Lytechinus pictus: one gene and its partners. The main gene of each other region encodes a partner of the protein of the gene in region 3 in a complex. Links are inferred from orthologs where the notes say so. Each region holds a gene or a part of one and is shown on either strand. Other genes may lie near its edges. The genes, in order: MICOS complex subunit MIC27-like, MICOS complex subunit MIC19-like and MICOS complex subunit Mic60-like.

Region 1 (7,053 bases), on a different chromosome or scaffold from region 3:
TGTTTATGTATAAAGTTCGGACAAACCAAGGAATAGGAGTTGCGAGACAGCCGACGTAAATCACTGTTTTTGTCCTTTTAAGTTTATTTTTTCCTGTTTTGGTGCATTTCGGGCCAAAACAGAATAATATTAATAATCTTTATTTTGGTCCCGTTCTTATTATATATTTTTATGAAATAAAGAAAAAACTCAATGAGCCCTGTCGGGAGGATTTTGCATTTTTATCCTCCGACCCTAATTTAATGGCTGCTGCACGATCGCGAGCCGTCTGTGTACGACTACGAGGAGATATTTTAAAAAAAATACAAATGTAAAAAAAAACTCCTTGAAACGGACGGCTGCCAGCTGTATTGTTGAATTCACACTTTACTCTGCAGCTCTGGGCCTTAGCACCCAAGCCAGGGTTCATTACATGCCACCGCGCACAGAAAAATCAAGCCATAGAAGTCGTGTGTTGTGGACACCAGAAGTGAGATCCCAGCATTCGCGACCCACTAGTTAGAAATCCACTGCCAAACGCGGTTCATGGTGCGAGGTTAGTATACTAGTATTAGTAGGGTGTCTGGAGAAAAAAAATTATTTTTCTTATTTCAAGAAAATATCACATTTTCTTTGTGAATTTGAAGAGAAGTGACCTTCAAACTGACAGAAATGTAACATTTTTGAAAAAATCAAATTATTGGCTGCAAAAAAGAAGAATGAAATTAGGTCAATTTTCAGCATTTCTCTGCCATAGACTGAGTACGGTAGTTAAGAAATGGACACACACAATTCCAAATTTTTAGCTTCCGAGAGCTGTAGTGTTATAAATTTATCATGAATGCCAAAAACTTGTCCATAAAGAGTCCAATAGGATTTTTTATGCTCTTTCTGATGGTATGATTTTTATAAAGATTTGGAAACCAGATCACAATGAAAAATTGTGACAAAGTGAAAAAAATTGTGCAAAACAGACATTTCATTTTCCCATAGAAAACGCATGGGGAAATGGCAATCTCAACACACACACAAATAAGGGTTTGCAATTTATCTCTAAATCCTTATTTAAAATGATCATATAAACTTGTCCTTACTGTCAAAAGAAGCCCCTGAATTTTCTCTTTCCATACATACATGCCAAACACAAGTTAATAATCAATTCAGATCACATTTTTCTAGCAGCCTGGGGCCCGTTTCTCAACACCTGGACAAGTTAGTCATATCTTTATCCACCAACCATGGAGTTAGTTCCAATCTTACTAAACCCGTTTCACGAAAGGCTTCCTAACTAAAATACCTTGATATCGATACTATCGGTAAAATGAGCAGACGAGACGTAGCCTTAGTCACAAAATAGCCTAATTTTCAAAAAGAAAAATTATGACAAAATTGCAAATATTGTGATGAATTGGGAAATACATCTTTTCAAAATAACAGCACATGTAAATTATGGATCATACATACTTAGAACATGAAGATTGGAGCATTCAGTTGCTGAGAAAATTAAATTATTAATAATTCATTTCATGACTAGAAAATCACATGTGGACGTTGAGATGGGTACCCCCGGGACATCTAATTTTAATAGTTTACGAAAGTAAACCATAACGTTTTTCGTTGTAAAATGATGATAATTATACGCCCTTCTACGGTTCCATACATCATCAAACTATAGTTTAATATTTTTTTTTTAATATTTGATACCGAAACATGCAATTTGAGAAATTCTATGCATAAATTAGAGATAGAATTTATCCAAATGTTAATAGGGGTCTGAAAACGACAAATACGAGTCCAGTTATGGATGGCGCCTGACGTGGTAGAATCTTTATCGATTAAATCATTTCACTATTTCAAACTGAATGGTTTTGTGGCGTTTTACTAACAGTTTTCATAGTTTCTTTGTATTAGAATTATTTAATGCATTATCCCACTTGTTTTGTGATGTAATTTCAACCTCTATGATTGATTACGTAAGATCATTATTTTCAAATATCTAGGCAATTTTGCATGTCATAGTCTACCCACGTGATGCCACTACGTCATTAAGAAAGAAGTTATGACAGCTTCGGAGGTGTCATAAATATTTAGTGAGGTTGTTGTACCCGATCTTGGTAAAGAGGGCTTCGTGAAACGGTTAGCGGACAAGTAGCTCACTAACTCCGATTTAGTCAAGAAGTTAGACTTATGACGGTGTTGAGAAACGGGCCCCTGAACTTCCCGAAAAAATGTGCAATTTTTTCCCCTAAATCAGCCTGTTTTATGCTGACACTTTTTAGTGTGGCTTCAGACACCCTAGTCCCTAGTAGTAGTATTAGTAATACTAGTACTAGTACTAACCTCGCAATACGTGTGAGTGGGCCTTTACTCTTTAGTAACCCAGGGAACTCCCGCCCGCGCAGCGGGCGCCCGCTGAGCGGGCGGGAGCTCCCTGGGGCTGGGTTAGGCCTTTAGACTTAGTAGATCCAACACGTTAGATCTCGTAGAGAATTTGATTTAACTTCAACTCAGCTAGCTCAGACCACTCTCAGAAACAATTCGTAGCGTAGGCAGACGTCAAACATGCCCCCCCCCCCCTATTTCATACATATTTTTACAGTCTCACTCACTGCTCAGCTCAGTCCCACTCGTTGAAGAAACTGTTTTTGTGTAGGACCTAACTGTATTGTAACGTTAGAACTCTGCATATTTCGCTCAGTATTCAGAAATAAACGCCATCATAAATTTTGTGTAAATATGGTATTACTATACCTGTCTAGACATTGCTGAATTCACACTTTACCCTGGGCCTTTAGTACTAGATCAAGTAGAGAATTTGATTTATCTTCGACTGACGACTCAGTCTCGTCTCAGAAACAATTCGTGGACTATAACTAACCGAACCGGATACGTGAACCGATATACGGGCTCCATATCCGGGCGGTACCGTACGTGTCATCAAGTACCGTACCGGTTTAAAATCGAGTCGATATCTGTTCAAGATGGCAGCGCCCGGTGCACTCGTCAACAAGAAACGTCGGGAATTCATGAACATGCCCGCTCCATTGGGCTATGTTCCTGGATTGGGTAGAGGGTATGTAGATAAATGTATTGTTCCTTTTTAGACTAGTCAACAAGCGCCAGTGTACCGTACATTTTTCAGTTCGGTATCTGGACATATTATAGCATGTATAGTAATAGCACTGACTGTCTGTACCGCCACCGTAACCTGAGCCTCAACCTAGCCTTGCCTGCCCCGGGCCCCGCTTGGCCGGCTGGCCATGATCTGAACTTCGCCTCGGCCGCGCCGATAACCGTTTCGGTTTCGTCAGCTCAGCGCAACCTCGGGCTCAGACTCAGTCAGACTTGTGAGGTGATACTGATACGTTGTTGTTTGTTGGGTATAAAATAGTTAATGGCGGCCAGTCATATTCTACCGCCAGTTCATTACTTTTTTTCCTTCTTTCTTTTCCAACTCCAAGATTATGAAGATAAAAAACAAGAAACAAAAAGTTTTCGTTTCTTTTTTCCTTCCTCTCTATCCTTGGCTTTTTTCTTTTCCTAAATCTTTACTCTCCCACTTTTCTTATATTTTTTAGATCTAAGTTAGAAGTCTAGGTCATTTAGGTGATTTATTGAATATTAAATTTATTCTTATTGTTATTATCCTAACTTACATGATCGTATCTTACAGGGGCCCGTTTCTCAACACATGGACAAGTTAGTCATATCTTTATCCACCAACCGCGGAGTTAGTTCCAATCTTACTAAACCTGTTTCTCGAAAGGCTTCCTAACTAGAATACCTTGATATCGATACTATCGGTAAAAACAGCAGACGAGACGTAGCCTTAGTCACAAAATAGCATAATTTTCAAAAAGAAAAATTATGACAAAATTGCAAATATTGTGATAAATTGGGAAATAAATCTTTTCAAAATAATAGCACAGGTGAATTATGCATCGTACATACTTAGACCATGAAGACTGGATCATTCAATTACAGAGAAAATTAAATTATGAATCATTCATTTCATGACTAAAAAGTCACTTATGGACGTTGAGATGGGTATCCCCGGGATATCCAATTTTGATAGTTTACAAAAGTAAACCATAACGGTTTTCTTTGTAAAATGATGATAATTATACGGTCTTTTACGATTCCAAACGTCATCAAAATGTAGTTCAATGAAACATTTTTAATCATTGCGGATACCGAAACATACGATATTTGACAAATTGAATGCATGAATTAGAGATAGAATTTATCCAACTGTCTGAAAGGGGTCTGAAAACAACAAATATGAGTTCAGTTATGGATGGCCTGACGTGGTAGAATATTTATCGATTAAATCATTTTACTATTTCAAAATGAATGGTTTTGTGGCGTCTTACCAACAGTTTTTATAGTTTCATTGTATTACAATTATCATTGAATGCATTAACCCACTTGTTTTGTGATGTAATTTCAACCTATATGATTGATTACGTAAGATTATAATTGCAAAATTTCTAGGCACTTTTGCATGTCATAGTCTACCCACGTGATGCCATACGTCATTAAGAAAGAAGTTATGACAGGTTCGGAGGTGTCATAAATATTTAGTGAGGTTGTTGTACCCGATCTTGGTAAAGAGGGCTTCGTGAAACGGTTAGCGGACAAGTAGCTCACTATCTCCGATTTAGTCAAGAAGTTAGACTTATGACGGTGTTGAGAAACGGGCCCCTGGGGCCAGTTTCTCAACACCTGGACAAGTTTGTCATATCTTTATCCACCAACCACTCTTACTAAACCTGTTTCTCAAAAGGCTTCCTAACTAGAATACCTTGATATCGATACTATCGATAAAAAGAGAAAACTAGACGTAGCCTTAGTCACAAAATATCATAATTTTCAAAAAGAAAAATTATGACAAAATTGCAAATATTGTGATGAATTGGGAAATAAATCTTTTCAAAATAATAGCACAGGTGAATTATGCATCATACATACTTAGACCATGAAGACTAGAGCATTCAATTGCAGAGAAAATTAAATTATGAATAATTAATTTCATGACTAAAAAATCACTTCTGGACGTTGAGATGGGTACCCCCGGGATATCCAATTTCAATAGTTTACGAAAGTAAACCATGATGGGTTTTTTTGTAAAATGATTATAATTATACGGTCTCTTACGATTCCAAACATCATCAAAATATAGAATAACAAAACATTTTTAATCATTGATACCGAAACATACGATATTTGACAAATTATATGCATAAATTAGAGATAGAATTTATCCAACTGTTAATAGGGGTCTGAAAACAACAAATACAAGTTCAGTTATGGATGGCCTGACGTGCTAGAATCTTTATCGAATCTTTATCGATTAAATCATTTTACTATTTCAAAATGAATGGTTTTGTGGCGTTTTACCAACAGTTTTTATAGTTTCTTTGTATTACAATTATCATTGAATGCATATCCCACTTGTTTTGTGATGTCCTTTTCAACCTCTATGATCGATTACGTAAGATTATAATTTAAAATTTCTAGGCACTTTTGCATGTCATAGTCTACCCACGTGATGCCACTACGTCATCGAGAAAGAAGTTATGACAGGTTCGGATGTGTCATAAATATTTAGTGAGGTTGTTGTACCCGATCTTGGTAAAGAGGGCTTTGTGAAATGGTTAGCGGACAAGTAGCTCACTATCTCCGATTTAGTCAAGAAGTTAGACTTATGACGGTGTTGAGAAACGGGCCCCAGATTACCCGGATCCTGTCCCTCGTTCGATAGTGAGTGATTGTATTACCTACCGGCCTTGTATTACCGCACACGCGCAGCGTACGCGTCAGAAAATAATTTCATATGCTCTAAACTTTGCAACATCCTTCCAAAGAGAACTTGAATAGAAAGATGATGAAAAATGGTCAAAAGCACATTTTCAAAAAATCTTAATATTCTAAAAATAATAAAATATGGTCAAAATAGCCCATTAGTGATTTTGTTGGGTTCTCAATTTTTCCCATAGAAAACACACGTTCGGTAATACCATACCTTTTTCAAGTGACCAAAATATTTCATGCGAAGAGGGGTCCGATTGGAAGCTAATACCGTAAAATAAAAAAACGATTTCAGCAAAATTTTTACATATTTATATTTTGTAGGTAATTATGTATTTTTGGTGAAAGATTTATGAATTTTAAGAGAATAATGTGTTTGATATGACTGAATTCATGAAAAGTGTTCGGTAATACGATCCACTACCATACTCCAGACGTCCTGTCTCTTCATTGCTGACAGGGGGCTTCCTTTGACCTTTGGGATACTCTAATATCAATTATTGAAACTCAAAAAGAAATTAAAAGAAAAATTAATTGGATCTGGATGTATACGATGCAGGGCCCTCCTGAGCGTAAACACATCGGGTGAGAGAGGGCGGAGTGAGGATTATAAGGTTCTGTCAATGGCCTTGAATGAGCTTGTCAATATTGATGACAGCGTCACTCAGTGATTCCACTCAATGATATTGGATGGGAGAACGAGTTCCTCATTGTTCAGTTTGTGCTCTGATTGGATTGTTGCACTTGTTATTATTTGTCACTTGCCTATTTGTAGTGTCACAGATTTCAAATTGTTTGGCACGGATACGTCGTTTGGATTTTATAGGTTGAGCAAAATTTTGGATTGGGAGAGCTGGCAGCAACCTCCCGACCACTTTGAAGAAGAGGGTGAGTTTGAGGTTCCTTCTTCTTTCCTTGAGGCTTGGGAGATGTAGTTCTGCTAGCTTGTTTGTGATGAAACCCTCATCTCTAGACACATACATGTAGTTCCCTGTGTTGAAGCGAACTGCTCTCCTTTGGACACTTTCGTGTCTGTTTGTGTCCTTTTGCAGGTATGGATCCCATACTACTGCAGCATACTCGAGGAGGGATCTTACGAGTGCAGTATAGGCAGTGCGTTTGACGTAAACCAGGGAAAAAGTGGAGATTCCTACGAAGGAGGGATAAGACCCAGTTTGCCTTCTAGGTAGTCTTTGCAACATGCTTCTCCCGCTTGAGGTCCTCTGAGATGATAAGCCCGAGGTAGCGTGTATCTTGGACATG
Region 2 (7,812 bases), on a different chromosome or scaffold from region 3:
TTGAAGCAATAAAACTTTGTTATGAAGGATTTTTTCGGGCAAGTGAAATCTATATTCGGGCAAGTATTTTCCAACTATTTGAAAATTTACTTGCCCGACTGGGCAAGTGCTTCAAAAAAGTTATGTAGCACCCTGCCTCTGTTGCATGATGAGTAACCGAAGACAAGGAATATATGAAAATTGCTGCAAACATGTCCAAGTGGATATAGTGCTTTGCAATAATAATTAAAACATACAAAAAGGTGTGCAATCCGCAATGGAAAAAATACTATTTACAGAAATAATGCTAACAAATTACAATGATCATAAATGTTGGTCATCTTTAAAGTTGATCACTTAATTTATGGAAGCTTATATAAGAATATAAAAAATATATATGTTCAACATGTCAAAGTTGAGAAGAGACTACATTATTAACATTACATAGGGGCCGAAAGGGGCCTACCCTACGATTTAAAATGCGCTTCTTCGTATGGACTTTCCATAATCTTTTCTTTAATGAACTTATCTTCATTTGTAATGATTGTGATGGATTCGAAAGCTATAGACCAATCTGTATCTTAAATTCAATTAGCTTTTTTGTTACTGCAGATTTTTTGTTTTGTTTCACTCTTTCACATCTCAAGTTAGCCCAAATCCGACAATTAATTTTCATTCATTAAAATTAATCTCTGCAAAAAACAATAATTATAATCATAAAAATGAAATAAAAATAAATAAATGATTTACCATGTTTAACATTTTAGTTTTGTATCGTGTTTTTTTTTTGCTGAACGTTATAAACAAGTTTTTTACCAAGTTTTTTTTTCTTTAAAGAAATTTGTTTTCATGTTGTTTAATTATCTTTAATGAGAAAGCATTGAGGGGTCAGAAAGATAGTGCCGCCCATTTCGATATTTAAAAAAAAATTAATGGAAATGGTGTGGGGATAGGACGGAGGGAGAATAAAAGAAAACATATTAAAAAAATATTTGGGCCTACATTACCCCCGGACAAAATACCCCGGAGAAGTTAAAATGACATCCGTTTTTGGTCGACTTGCCGTGCAAAAAAATAACTTGGCGCCATCCCAGATAAAATGCATCAGTGTGCAACCCCAAAAATGTTAAAGATGATATGTCAATGTGGCTTGCCGTAAACGTATTTTCTCTCATTCTCAATGCCGACGGTGGCGGGCGGTGTGCAAAGAAGATCATGCCTACGTATAGAACAAAAGCTTCAGTCTCTGTATTTTGCTTTGGTTGTTCCGCTGAACTGAGTCTGACCGAGTTGGCTCTCTCAGACAGTCTCACCAATATAGTAAAATGTCAGAAAATGTTGAATAAATCCCAAGAAACGACGGTTATGGTTATTCCTGTCTAGCCTACGGCTACGTAGGACATGTCTGGAGGTGTCTTTCCAAGGACCATTCTTCGTATCGCCCAAATCGGCTTTGTGAAACAGTTGAGCGATATCTCGTTCTTCCGTAGAATGGTTCTACGAAAGACCCTTTCATGCAACAGGCCCCAGCAGAACAACCAACACAACAGAGACCGAAGCTTTTGGTCTACGTCTAACGTAACCCAGGGAGCTCCGGCCCGCACAGCGGGCCGGAGCCCAGGGGCTTACTGTGTAATTCGCCATACCCCACGGTAGTGGTAGTAGCGTGAGGTATGGTCTAAATCATTTTAAGAGTAAATACTTATATTATAACAGAAATTAAGCACTTACCACGATTATATGGATGAAGGTCTAACGAGTGGCAGCTTCCTGACATCGAGGCACAGACTGGAACCTCAAAAAACGAAAAGTTCTGTCGCGGTAGCTCTCCTTCTTTCAGAATTCATAGCAAAATGGCCGTTCGAGACCAGTACCGAGGGTGTAGGGCACATGCGCGAATTTGACGAAGTCTATATGCGCTAGTGCTATAGCCTGTCTCGATCGGCCATTTTGTTTTGAATTTTGAAAGAAGGAGAGCTACCGCGACAGTAGACCAATGTAGACAGCTGGCAGCTGTCTGTTTCGAGGAGTTTTTTAACATTTTTTTATTTTTTAAATTTCTCCTCATAGTTACACAGACGGCTCACTATCGTGCAGCCACCATTAGGGGACTTACAATGCAAAATCCCCCCGTCGGGGCTCTTCAATTTTTGTCTTTAATGAATCAAACTTTTGAAAATTAACGCAACCGAAATGCAAATTAATATTCCCTCTTGGCATTAATTGCCAAAAAACGGGGAAAATCAAGTTAAAAGGAACAAAAACAGTGACTTACCTTGGCTGTCGTGCAACTTCACTGCCCTGTTTTATCCGAACTTAAACATATGGCCATTGAGTCCCCTGTACAGATCGCGCTAGAACTTCGGTCTCTGTATTTGGTGAGTGAAGCCAACGGAGTTCAGCTGAACAACCAACATAACACTAACAGAGACCGAAGCTTTTGGTCTACTGTCTAGGGGCCTACCGCGACAGAACTTTTCGTTAATTTGAGGTTCCAGTCTGTGCATCGATGTCAGGAAGCTGCCACTCGTTAGACCTTCATCCATATAATCGTGGTAAGTGCTTAATTTCTGTTTTAAGTATTTACTCTTAAAATGATTTAGACCATACCTCACGCTACTACCGTGGGGTATGGCGAATTACACGGTAAGCCCCTGGCCCTGGGCTCCGGGCCGCTGCGCGGGTTACGTCTAACGTTAACTAGTTAACGTTAGACGTAACCCGCGCAGCGGCCCGGAGCTTTTACTTTAGTTTTAGGGACCCTAGACCGAGCCGAGAAAGTCAGAAACAAGTAATATATTCACTCACTTTAACTACTCCTCCGTCAGCATCTTGTTCTAAACTAATTCTTCTCCCAGGGCTACTAGTACTACTACTCCCTCCCATATTTGCAGAAGGTAAATTAAAGTGAAAGCGACCTTTCTTGGCGATCTACCTATACTACTAATACTATAGATAATACTAGTGTCGATGTCGCGAATTCGAAGCGGTAGGCACTTATGATCCAAGTTTGAAAGGAGACTCGTAAAATGACGTCACTCTCGCCGATGAATATTCATTAGATCGTGGTCGTGCGTTTTCAATACACACTGCGTGCAGGCATGCAGATAGTTATATGCGAGGAACTTTGGCTCCAGAGACAAGTTGTCAAATAACGTGTGTGTGTGTGCGTGTGTGTACCATCGGCTGGTAGTATTCCATGCTGTCTAAGACTTCAAACGCGTCGGAGAGAGTGCATGGCAATTCGGTAAAACGAAGTTTCCGATATAAAGAGATAATAAAATAACACTATATGTACAGTACGTTGAGAGGCAAATGTCAGATCAGGGGAGGCAGGAGTACAATCAGGTTTTTTTTTAAAGGGAAGAATAGTGTAGAATAAAAGGTATTATATATATATAGCCAAATGATCTAGGTGAGGGAAGTGAACAATGATGTTTTTAAAAAAAGAATGAATACCTTACCTGAATATTATGGTGAAGCCAATTTAAAAGGAGGTGAGGCAAGTTTCAATGGAGGTTTTTAAAAAGAATAAACTGTATTATGGTGAAGCCAATTTAAAAGGAGGTGAGGCAAGTTTCAATGGAGGTTTTTAAAAAGAATAAACTGTATATGGTGAAGCCAATTTGAAAGGAGGTGAGGCAAGTTTCAATGGAGGTTTTTTTAAAAGAATAAATTATGGTGAAGCCAATTTAAAAGGAGGTGAGGCAAGTTTCAATGGAAGTTTTTAAAAAAGAATAAACTGTACTACAAATTTAAAAGGAGGCGACGCAAGTGTCAATGGAGGTTTTTAAAAAGAATAAACTGTACTACAAATTTAAAAGGAGGCGAGGCAAGTTTCAATTGAGGTTTTTAAAAAGAATAAACTGTACTACAAATTATGGTGAAGCCAATTTAAAAGGAGGTGAGGCAAGTTTCAATGGAGGTTTTTAAAAAGAATAAACTGTACTACAAATTATGGTGAAGCCAATTTAAAAGGAGGTGAGGCAAGTTTTAATGGAGGTTTTTAAAAAGAATAAACTGTATTATGGTGAAGCCAATTTAAAAGGAGGTGAGGCAAGTTTCAATGGAGGTTTTTAAAAAGAATAAACTGTATATGGTGAAGCCAGTTTAAAAGGAGGTGAGGCAAGTTTCAATGGAGGTTTTTAAAAAGAATAAACTGTACTACAAATTATGGTGAAGCCAATTTAAAAGGAGGTGAGGCAAGTTTCAATGGTAGTTTTTAAAAAAGAATAAACTGTACTACAAATTTAAAAGGAGGCGACGCAAGTGTCAATGGAGGTTTTTAAAAAGAATAAACTGTACTACAAATTTAAAAGGAGGCGAGGCAAGTTTCAATTGAGGTTTTTAAAAAGAATAAACTGTACTACAAATTATGGTGAAGCCAATTTAAAAGGAGGTGAGGCAAGTTTCAATGGAGGTTTTTAAAAAGAATAAACTGTACTACAAATTATGGTGAAGCCAATTTAAAAGGAGGTGAGGCAAGTTTTAATGGAGGTTTTTAAAAAGAATAAACTGTATTATGGTGAAGCCAATTTAAAAGGAGGTGAGGCAAGTTTCAATGGAGGTTTTTAAAAAGAATAAACTGTATATGGTGAAGCCAGTTTAAAAGGAGGTGAGGCAAGTTTCAATGGAGGTTTTTAAAAAGAATAAACTGTACTACAAATTATGGTGAAGCCAATTTAAAAGGAGGTGAGGCAAGTTTCAATGGTAGTTTTTAAAAAAGAATAAACTGTACTACAAATTTAAAAGGAGGCGAGGCAAGTTTCAATGGAGGTTTTTAAAAAGAAAAAACTGTACTACAAATTATGGTGAAGCCAATTTAAAAGGAGGTGAGGCAAGTTTCAATGGAGGTTTTTAAAAAGAATAAACTGTATATGGTGAAGCCAGTTTAAAAGGAGGCGACGCAAGTGTCAATGGAGGTTTTTAAAAAGAATAAACTGTACTACAAATTTAAAAGGAGGCGAGGCAAGTTTCAATGGAGGTTTTTAAAAAGAAAAAACTGTACTACAAATTATGGTGAAGCCAATTTAAAAGGAGGTGAGGCAAGTTTCAATGGAGGTTTTTAAAAAGAATAAACTGTATTACAAATTATGGTGAAGCCAATTTAAAAGGAGGTGAGGCAATTAGTTAATGGAGGTTTTTAAAAAGAATAAACTGTATTACAAGTTATGGTGAAGGCAATTTGAGAGGAGGTGAGGCATGTCTACAATGATTTTTTTTAAAGAATGATAAGTGTAGAATATAATTCAAATGATGAAGCCATCTTGAGAGGTGCATGAGGCAAGTCTACAATGAGGTTTCTAAAAACAATGAATAGTGAAGAAAAAGATCGCAATTGCTTTTAATAATCCACAAAATTGTGTAGTTATTTATTTCATGCAAATTGCTATTAATTGATTATGCTCATTTGTGCATAATTAGTATACTATACCTATTCCTCTAACTCCCTAAATAAAGCTCCAAATTTTCTAATTTTTGGTTTAGAAACTCTTTGTGGTGTTCTTCGATAACGTATTTCTTGTGTTTTTACCTTTGTATTGCATTGTTTTTTTCAACGATGCTCGGACTCTCGTAACAGCATAAAATAAACAGTTTAGTTCAACAAAACTAAAAACAATTAGGCATTCATGAATTTTGGTTGAAAACGCATATTCCATTGACGTGGTACACAAATATCACAATTTTGAGCCATTTTTGTCTGATATGCACTTACAAATTGTTTGGTAATTTTCAGAACCCAGTACCCGGGCTTCGCAAAACTGGTCTCAAAACATGCAAAAGACTTCTTTTTTTTTAAATCGCAGAGCTCAGAGCCCCCCCCCCCCCCCCTGCGTAAATAGGTTAAGTTTGCATTAATTTTGAACTTTTCCATTCCCAAATACGTAATATCCCCTCCCCAAAAATGCAATTGTCACTGAAATGGAATATATATAATATATTTTTTAATAAGCCATGTTTTGCAAAATAATCATCATGTCATCCTTTGTCAACAAGAAATCTGTACATGTCCTCTGCTGGAAGAAAATAATACCTCGGCCGCCTATTAAATTCTCAGTTTTGATTTTGTAAGTATTTTACTTAGCAATTTGGCTGGCTTATCAAAATGCTTAAACTTGTATGCAGATCAGATCTCAGAATTTACCTTATCCAAATTGAACTAAATACTAATACCCATTGTGATGTTATAAATTTTGAGCCAAATAGTGCCAAATGTGTGAATGTATTTCTGTGCGTATCATTTTTGTATATGTAGACTTAAGTCTAGTAGATGGCTGACTTACATTTAAGCAAAATATTTAGCCCAAAAAAAATGCAATTGAATACCAAAGATGGATAAGTATTTTACTTTTGCAAAATACTGAGTAAAATATACTTGAAATTGTGGCTTTAAGAGTAGCATTGAATACCGGCCCTGTTCCTCATCATCATTATCATCCCACTATACTTGACTGAACCATATAGTATTAAACAAAGCTAATTCCACATGTTCAGGGAGGAATTAATCGTTGTATCACTTGACATTAAGGAGAAACTTGGAATATTTCATATTTCCTATAATAAAATACAAAAGAAATAGTGAGAGGATGACGTCATCAGTCTCCTCAGGTGCATACAGACCAGGATGTGCATATAACTGTTTTTTTTAATTAAGCAAAACTTTAAAATGTCATAACTTGCTTCATCATTTGAATTATATTCTACACTTATCATTCTTTAAAAAAAATCATTGTAGACATGCCTCACCTCCTCTCAAATTGCCTTCACCATAACTTGTAATACAGTTTATTCTTTTAAAAAACCTCCATTAACTAATTGCCTCACCTCCTTTTAAATTGGCTTCACCATAATTTGTAATACAGTTTATTCTTTTTAAAAACCTCCATTGAAACTTGCCTCACCTCCTTTTAAATTGGCTTCACCATAATTTGTAGTACAGTTCATTATTATTCTTTTTAAGAACCTCCATCGAAACTTGCCTCGCCTCCTTTTAAATTTGTAGTACAGTTTCTTCTTTTTAAAAACCTCCATTGACACTTGCCTCACCTCCTTTTAAATTAGCTTCACCATAATTTGTAGTACAGTTTATTCTTTTTAAAAACCTCCATTGAAACTTGCCTCGCCTCCTTTTAAATTTGTAGTACAGTTTATTCTTTTTAAAAACCTCCATTGACACTTGCGTCGCCTCCTTTTAAATTTGTAGTACAGTTTATTCTTTTTTAAAAACCTCCATTGAAACTTGCCTCACCTCCTTTTAAATTGGCTTCACCATAATTTGTAGTACAGTTTATTCTTTTTAAAAACCTCTATTGAAACTTGCGTCGCCTCCTTTTAAATTTGTAGTATACCCAGTTGTTGTGTGTCCGGACAGGTTGTGTGTCCGGACGATCAATTTTAGAAAGTCATTTGGAAAAATTTACAAGCGAAGTTTCATCAATGTTTAGTGCAAAATGTAAGGAAATATTATAGCGACCAAAATGGAAGATGATTACAACTATTGAATTCATATTTTTAGTGTAATCCAAAGACAAAAAAGAAGGCTTCAAAAATATAAAGTGTCCGGACACCCGACCCCCCATCCTACAGTTTATTCTTTTTTAAAAACCTCCATTGAAACTTGCCTCACCTCCTTTTAAACTGGCTTCACCATAATACAGTTTATTCTTTTTAAAAACCTCCATTAAAACTTGCCTCACCTCCTTTTAAATTGGCTTCACCATATACAGTTTATTCTTTTTAAAAACCTCCATTGAAACTTGTCTCACCTCCTTTTAAATTGGCTTCATAATTTGTAGTACAGTTTTTTCTTTTTAAAAACCTCCATTGAAACTT
Region 3 (7,111 bases):
CTAAAAATGAACTTTGACCTTACCATGAGACCTCCAAACACAATAACATGCAGGTCTCCTAAGTACACCTACAACCCAGGTTTGGTATAAAAGTGACTTACAGTTGCAGAGTTATGTGTCACATCATTGACCTCAAAATGACCTTTGACCTAACCATGTGACCTCTGATTGCGCCATGACATGCAGGTCTCCTCAGTACATCTACAACCCAAGTTTGGGTGAAAAGTGACTTACAGTTGCAGAGTTATGTGTCATATGGTTTGTGACGGACGGACGGACAACATTTGGATCCCTAAGTCTCGCCTACACCTCTGGTGGGCGAGACAAAAAGTAATCATCATGAACTACATGCTCCTTCATAATTTACACATCTTCTCATATTTGAAACTACATCTAGTGAATATCAACAGATATGTACTTACTGGTTTAGATACAGCAAGTGGTGCCTCACTGACGGGAGTGATGGTTTTTGGTGAGCTACAAAGAAGAAAAAAATAGAGATGCGCGCTTGATAAATACTGGCATGATGGAGACAACACAATGTAGGAATAAATACTTGGATATTTAGATTTTTTTTGTTGAACAATTATTCAGTTCAGTTTAGTACAGACCAATATGGTTTGGTTTGGTTGCTGTTTTTATGGTAATTTCTATCTGGAGGGGCTTCATGTCTTATCAAAAGATAATGTATTTACTGACATAGCAACACACCTGGTTTATTGAATATCCCATTAAAAGTACTTCTTTGGAAGCCCCCCCCCCCCCCATCGTGGCCACCATATGTTGCAGTGCTTTAAAAAATCAAATTCACTCATAGATCTGTCGATTAACATACATATGTATAAAAATTGTATGCATATTTCTGAACACAGGTTGCTCCTGACAACCCCAAAAAATTGTCAGAGATTTGCCAGACATAGCAACAGATGATACATACATGTACACATTGGATTCCAAATACAGTAGTGATGCCTTATTACTGACAGGTTGGATGAATACATTGTAACTAGGCTCCAAAGAAAGGAACACCCATATGGTAAACCGGCCTATTTGATTCAGTTTCAATAGATACTATTCACCTCATCAGTCACTCTCCTGCATATGTTCTTCTTTTGTCACTATCAATCCTTTTCTATAACAGATATGGCAAAATGCCATTTTGCATCTGGCTATCTTGCTAAAGATTCTTTATTAAACATATCTTCATTATTCATATTCACCCTCATTATCCCACTATCCAATGACAACAGGAAACAATTTTTTTTTTCAAAATGAACTTTTCTCTTGATTTAATAATAATGATAATAATAACAACAATTATAAGAAAAGGAAGAAGAAAAAGAGGTAAGAAGAGGAATAGACATTTATATAGTGCCATCTATCGAGAAATAATCTAATCCGAGGTACACTATTATTAGAAACCAAGCTTTAGCTCGAGCTAAGCTTGAGCTATCTGTTACATGACACAATTAAAATTTGAAATTTGTGAGACATTTCCTATTTTTGAGCAAGGGCCATGAGCGCCCAGCAGAGGCGGATATCGACCCTATACAAGAACCCATCATCATCAACAACATCATTTTCTCTACAACTGTTCAATAAAATTGAAGAAACAACCAGCCTCAAAGATCGGTGATGCGGAAGGGGACTTTCGTGTTAAGACCTACCTGGTGGGTATCAACGGTTTCTTTCCTCCGCCAAGAGACATGGTATCTGCTTTAGACTTGCCGGTCTCTGCCGGCGATGCATCCTCATCGAAGAAGTAAGGAAAGACGTCCAGGAGCAAAGGCCAGTTACTCTCCACCTGCTTCCTGAATTCAGGGTTTGCCTTGGCGTAGGCTAACGTGCCAACGGTCGCTCCTACTCCTACCAATAGACCGCCCATGATGACCTTCCCCGCACCACCAGACCTACAAGAACAAAACAATCAAATCATGACTTCAAATCCATATGATAGTTGTGTAAATCTAAAGATCATTCAGGTCTACGCTTTAAACTGACTGTTTGATATAATAAAAATTTTAAAAAAAGAGTATCACAAAACACATGTTGTGTAAAACATGCAATCTTTGGCTAATCTGGTGCATGTGTCTATATATGTCTGTCTGTTGTTTTGTTGACGCTTTTTCCTACAGACAGTCACCGAATCGCCTTGAAACGGTGCCCGTTTTACCATTTTTACACTTGTTGATTGTCCTGGGAAAGTTTAATGATTCTGCCTATTTGGGGGTTAAACATTTAAAGTGCAAGGTGAAGGGTATTTGCTGACTCCGCAGTCAGCATGGAGTAGAAATGCTTCATATTATTCAATGCCTCCATCATATGGAATGAAGATTACGAGCACACACATACATATACATTTGGTTATGTATTCACTGCATGGTATATGTTACGCAGCCCCCTCAGTATCACAGCTTGGGCAAGATTTATCCAACACAAGGAGGCATGTACCTCACCAACGGATCATCTCACTTTGATACATCATGGGTGATGGCAGCCAGTATGATACAAAGTGAACATATCATACACAAAAATTGGAATACTTGAAATAATAATCTTCTATAAATTTCTTTTTTTAATGTTTGGCAACATTTTAGACAGGTTTTAAAATGACACCTATCATTTCATTTTTAATGTGAAAATCAACATGGGTATAGTACATCTGTGTTATTACTCTGGTATTCATCCCTGAATTTTGGTTCATAAGTTTTGGGGATACACCGCACACAAATTAATCTTAGTTTATATTGTGAATCAACTTTCCAATTACTGGCATTTAATTCACAATGTTCACTGAAACTAATTCATTCACAGAAGCATTGCCTATACAGTAAATTTCTCAATTAGTCTACAAAGCATACACAGGGAATCGCCTAAAAAAAAGTTCTGCCATGTGCCATTTTGACCAAATCATTTTTTTTTATTTTAATACAGGCCTTCAATACAATCGTGTTTTGATTCAACAGACTTACCTCTTTGGTGCAGATGGTGGCGGTGGTGGTGGCGGTGGAGGGGCTGATTTAGGAGCTCCAGCAGGGGCCGAGCTGGGCTTTGAACAATAACTGCATTGTCCTCCAGAATTGGAGCTCACCCGATTGGCCGTCCGACAATTACATGCCTACCAACAACAAAGGATAACAAAATAGATTAATCGGTTGCAATTTTTAGGTACATACATGGAAGGGGTTGTTTGGAATTGTTTTTGAGACTCATTTGTAAAATAATCTGAAATTGATAGAAGCTTACCGATTATTAACTTCCAGAAGAAGCCAATGGGTGATTTCAAGTCCGGTGTTGGCCTTGGTGTTGGTGTTGGAATTTGGATTGCTTCCCCTAGCTCCGAAACTTATTCAGAGTTTGTAAAACTGATCCAGATCACATTATTGACATCTCATCAACTAGTGAGTGACTTTTCGGGACCATCTCCATTTTATGTTTGGTGTTATAATCGTGTAAAAATTGACCTAACACCAACACCAAAAGGTCAACACTGAACTTGAAATCACCCAATGAGCAATCAGAAGTCCCAAAATTGTAATAAGTCATTTGAATTACCTGGCATTGCAACTTGATTTATGCAAACTGGATTCCAAACACTAAGCTTCTTTATTGTAAGGCGAGTGAAAACAACGGCCTGCCTCTATGTGCTTGCACTTGCTCATTGCAACCACCCTGCCTGTGGGGAATCTACAGGTAGGACTACCCGCACGGCCAATATGGGAGACTCTCTCCAATATGGGAGACAATCTCCCACATTGGAGACTTGCTTTGCAAAAGAACAAAAGAAACAACACCAACAAAAGCGTAATTTTTTCCACCCAAAATTTTGTCTCACTGAGGTCAGAAGCCCATTTGTTTTGTGTGTGGATGACAACAAAAATCCTTCTAAAAACAAAAGTAGTCCGTGAATTTTTAAAGAAGACGTTGAAAAGGGGTAATTTTTCATGAGGAATCTGCTTATCACATTTTTATTTGCCAGGAAGGTAATCCTCTTGCAGCAAATGTAAACGAAGGAAATTGGCCTCCCAAACTGGAGACTGTCTCTGAAATTGGATACCCAAATTCTTTAAAAAAGTCTCTAATATTGGGATAATCTCTCTCATGGGAGACAGTCTCCCATATTGGCCGTGCACCTCTACTGATGGTATGCCAATGCAGTACACAACACACAATAAAAAAGAAATCATTAAAATATCACTTTTGTGACCAAAAATACTTATTTCCATACACGATTACACGTTGCAATTTATTTTTCATTAGTAACTTGGGAGTAATTTTTGTATTCACCAGAGCGCTCGAAAACTTGAATTTTGGGCATATTTTTTTGTACGCCCTCTATTGGTGGAAAGTAATATGGCAAGACAATTGTCATTTTTCAATCTCTGTTTTAAATTAAGAAAAAATAATTTAAAGAATCAAATTTACTCAAGAGCCAGGTTATATGATGAATAGCTGTAATGGAAACTGACAGTGTAAAAAAATCATGCATTTTTCCCAAAGAAAAAGAGAAAAGTAAGGCGTAAGCCAAACATTGCCAACCTTATTTCACCACACAGGGAGTAGTAACAAAGTCAGAGAACAAGGTTAGATTATATCTACCTCGAGCGATGTTCGTGCAGGCTCCACTCCACTTCACTACCGCTACACTACGCTCCACCTACACGAATATCGAGACGGTGAACCAGTTCGGATATACTGAGTCACAAAGGTGGGATGGAAATCATGTTTATCGTAAAAATTAAAGAAAAAAAATATAACAAGAAAGATGAATAACTTAATATCTTACTCTACACCTGTATTTCACTCCGTTTCCATCCTCTGGTTATCCTCAAAATTGGTGATTTTGGGCCAGTATCTTTCTCCTCACACGTATTATTCACGGCTGATTTCAAAACATCGCATGCGATCGCGATCGGTCACAGGTCAAACCTTATATTCTTATATAAGCTTCCATAAATTAAGTGATCAACTTTAAACTATGCCAACGTTTATGATCATTGTAATATTTAGCATTATTTCTGTAAATAGTATTTTTTCCATTGCGGATTGCACACCTTTTTCTATGTTTTAATTGTTATTGCAAAGCACTACTTTATCCACTTGGACATGTTTGCAGCAATTTTCATATTTTCCTTGTCTTCGGTTACTCATCATGCAACTGAGGTACATGTATGTTTATACTCTAAACACTCACATTTGTATTTCTTGCGTTATATGTGACAAATAAAATAAATGAATTAGATTTTTCACAGGCATCCTCTCATATTTTCCTTTTTAGTCTCATACAATCAGACACTGTTGATTTTGTTTACTCCATTCAAACCCTATTTTTACCTCAACAAATAACATATTAACGCATAATTTGCAAAATCATCATTATATATATGTATTCTATAAAAAATCAGTATATTGAACTAATAAAATGTCGAAATTACTTAGTTAGATCAATTTTTATGTCGGACAAGAGTCTCTTTCGTTGAAATATCAATGAAAGGTGTCTCTAAAAGGATACAGTGTTCTAAATAAGGGAAATAATGAAAATTTCGATTTTATCCAGTTATGTTTGTGAATCTTGAATTTTTTTCTTTTTACCTCATAAAGTACGCTCCATACATCAATTCTACAATCAGTACTAAATAAAACATTATTTGATCCCCTTTTATTGAAATATATGATTTTATGAAAAGTCGTCATTCCGAAATAAAAGGTTCAGATGACGATGAAGACTAAATATTTTTCCAATACTATCAACAGGGCGCGACAAACCCGCTTGCCCGGGACAAGTGAAAATGACGTGCAGGCAAGCATTTCTCAAAGTCAATTGCCCGATCGGGCAAGTGGTTGTTTTGAAAATGAAAAAGATAAATTGACAGTAAAGTTTAATAATTTTTTGATAAATTGCAATTATCGGCCAATTATCTCTCATACAATGTCATACCTGTCAAAAAACAGTGGAAAGATGTCAAATCAGCGCCAATTTACCGACAATTTATCGCCAGCGGTCCCGTTCGATGGGGGCTGCCATCTTACTTTCTAAACTACAATGTGCGCATGCGCTACTAATCGACGAAGGAGCTAGCTGGGGAAACCCCTCTCTCACCCTCTGAGCGCATGCTCTCTATGCTCTAATACATCGGCGCTACAGTACATGTACGGACGTACACGAGCGATCGCGAGCCAGCCGAGTCTCGAGCTAGATCGTGCTGAATGCATGCAAGCTTCGGACTGACTCGGCCAGACCAGACGTCCCGTATTTTATTCATTTCTAAAACATTTTAGTATTTTTTAATTTTAAAAATATATATTAAAAAAACACCAAATATCATTAGGATTTTTGTTATATGATTGGATTGTTTTTATTTGCTTGATATTTGAACTTTTTCCTCTTTCTTTCTTTTCTATCTATCCTTCCTTCTTGCCCTTTTTTGTTACATATCTATTTTCATTTCCTGATCCTTTCTCTCTCTTTCTGTTCATTTTCTTTCTTTCCTTCTTTCTCTTAATTGCCTTCTTTATTACATTTCCTTTTTTTTTATTTCCTTCATTCCTTCTCCCTTCCATTATTTTCTTCATTTTTTCATTCTTTCCTCCCTTCATTCTTTCCTCCCTCTCTTTCCTCCTTTCTTTCTTTCATTATTTATTTCATTTTGTCCTTCTTATTCTTTTCTCTTTTACTTTCTTTCCCTTTCTTCCTTCATTCCTTCCTTCCTTCCTTCCTGTTTTCTTCTTTCTTTGTTTTTCTTTCCAAGAATGAAGGAAACATTTTCTTTCCTTCATTCTTTCTTTCCTCCTCCTTTTTTCTTACTTTCTTTTTGTCTTTCTCTTCTTTATTTTGACTTTCACACATTTATTCATCTTCCCTTTTCTTTTTTTTTTCTTTCTATATTCAATTCAAAGAATGACGGAAACCTTTTTATCTATTTTTATTCTCTCATCCTTTTTTTATTAGAACTTTCTTATATTTTTTATTATTTCCTTCATTTTCAAACATTTTTTCTTTCTTTCTTCTCAATTCATCTCTTTTCTTTCTCTCCTTCATTCTTTCGTTCACCCTCCCTTCCAATCCTGTACTTTTTTCACAAGTCTAACACTGTGTAGCCTTCTTTCTTGA

Evidence for each region.
Region 1: MICOS complex subunit Mic60-like (region 3) and MICOS complex subunit MIC27-like share a complex: the UniProt entries of both Homo sapiens proteins name them as parts of the mitochondrial contact site and cristae organizing system (MICOS) complex. The link is inferred for Lytechinus pictus from reciprocal best matches to the Homo sapiens genes IMMT and APOOL.
Region 2: MICOS complex subunit Mic60-like (region 3) and MICOS complex subunit MIC19-like share a complex: the UniProt entries of both Homo sapiens proteins name them as parts of the mitochondrial contact site and cristae organizing system (MICOS) complex. The link is inferred for Lytechinus pictus from reciprocal best matches to the Homo sapiens genes IMMT and CHCHD3.

What each region holds. Positions count from the first base shown.
Region 1 is NC_087245.1:8,321,595-8,328,647, forward strand, and holds the start of MICOS complex subunit MIC27-like, read right to left. Parts: upstream 3,059-7,053; 5' UTR 3,053-3,058; coding exon of another isoform or gene 2,961-3,052; 5' UTR 2,743-2,960; coding exon 2,731-2,742; intron 1-2,730. Other genes in the region: pre-mRNA-processing factor 6-like, read left to right, coding at 2,961-3,052. UniProt on the Homo sapiens protein: Component of the MICOS complex, a large protein complex of the mitochondrial inner membrane that plays crucial roles in the maintenance of crista junctions, inner membrane architecture, and formation of contact sites to the outer membrane.
Region 2 is NC_087247.1:64,770,294-64,778,105, forward strand, and holds the start of MICOS complex subunit MIC19-like, read right to left. Parts: upstream 3,099-7,812; 5' UTR 2,866-3,098; coding exon 2,788-2,865; intron 1-2,787. UniProt on the Homo sapiens protein: Component of the MICOS complex, a large protein complex of the mitochondrial inner membrane that plays crucial roles in the maintenance of crista junctions, inner membrane architecture, and formation of contact sites to the outer membrane.
Region 3 is NC_087256.1:25,317,245-25,324,355, reverse strand, and holds the start of MICOS complex subunit Mic60-like, read right to left. Parts: upstream 3,114-7,111; 5' UTR 2,973-3,113; intron 1,911-2,972; 5' UTR 1,886-1,910; coding exon 1,668-1,885; intron 478-1,667; coding exon 423-477; intron 1-422. UniProt on the Homo sapiens protein: Component of the MICOS complex, a large protein complex of the mitochondrial inner membrane that plays crucial roles in the maintenance of crista junctions, inner membrane architecture, and formation of contact sites to the outer membrane.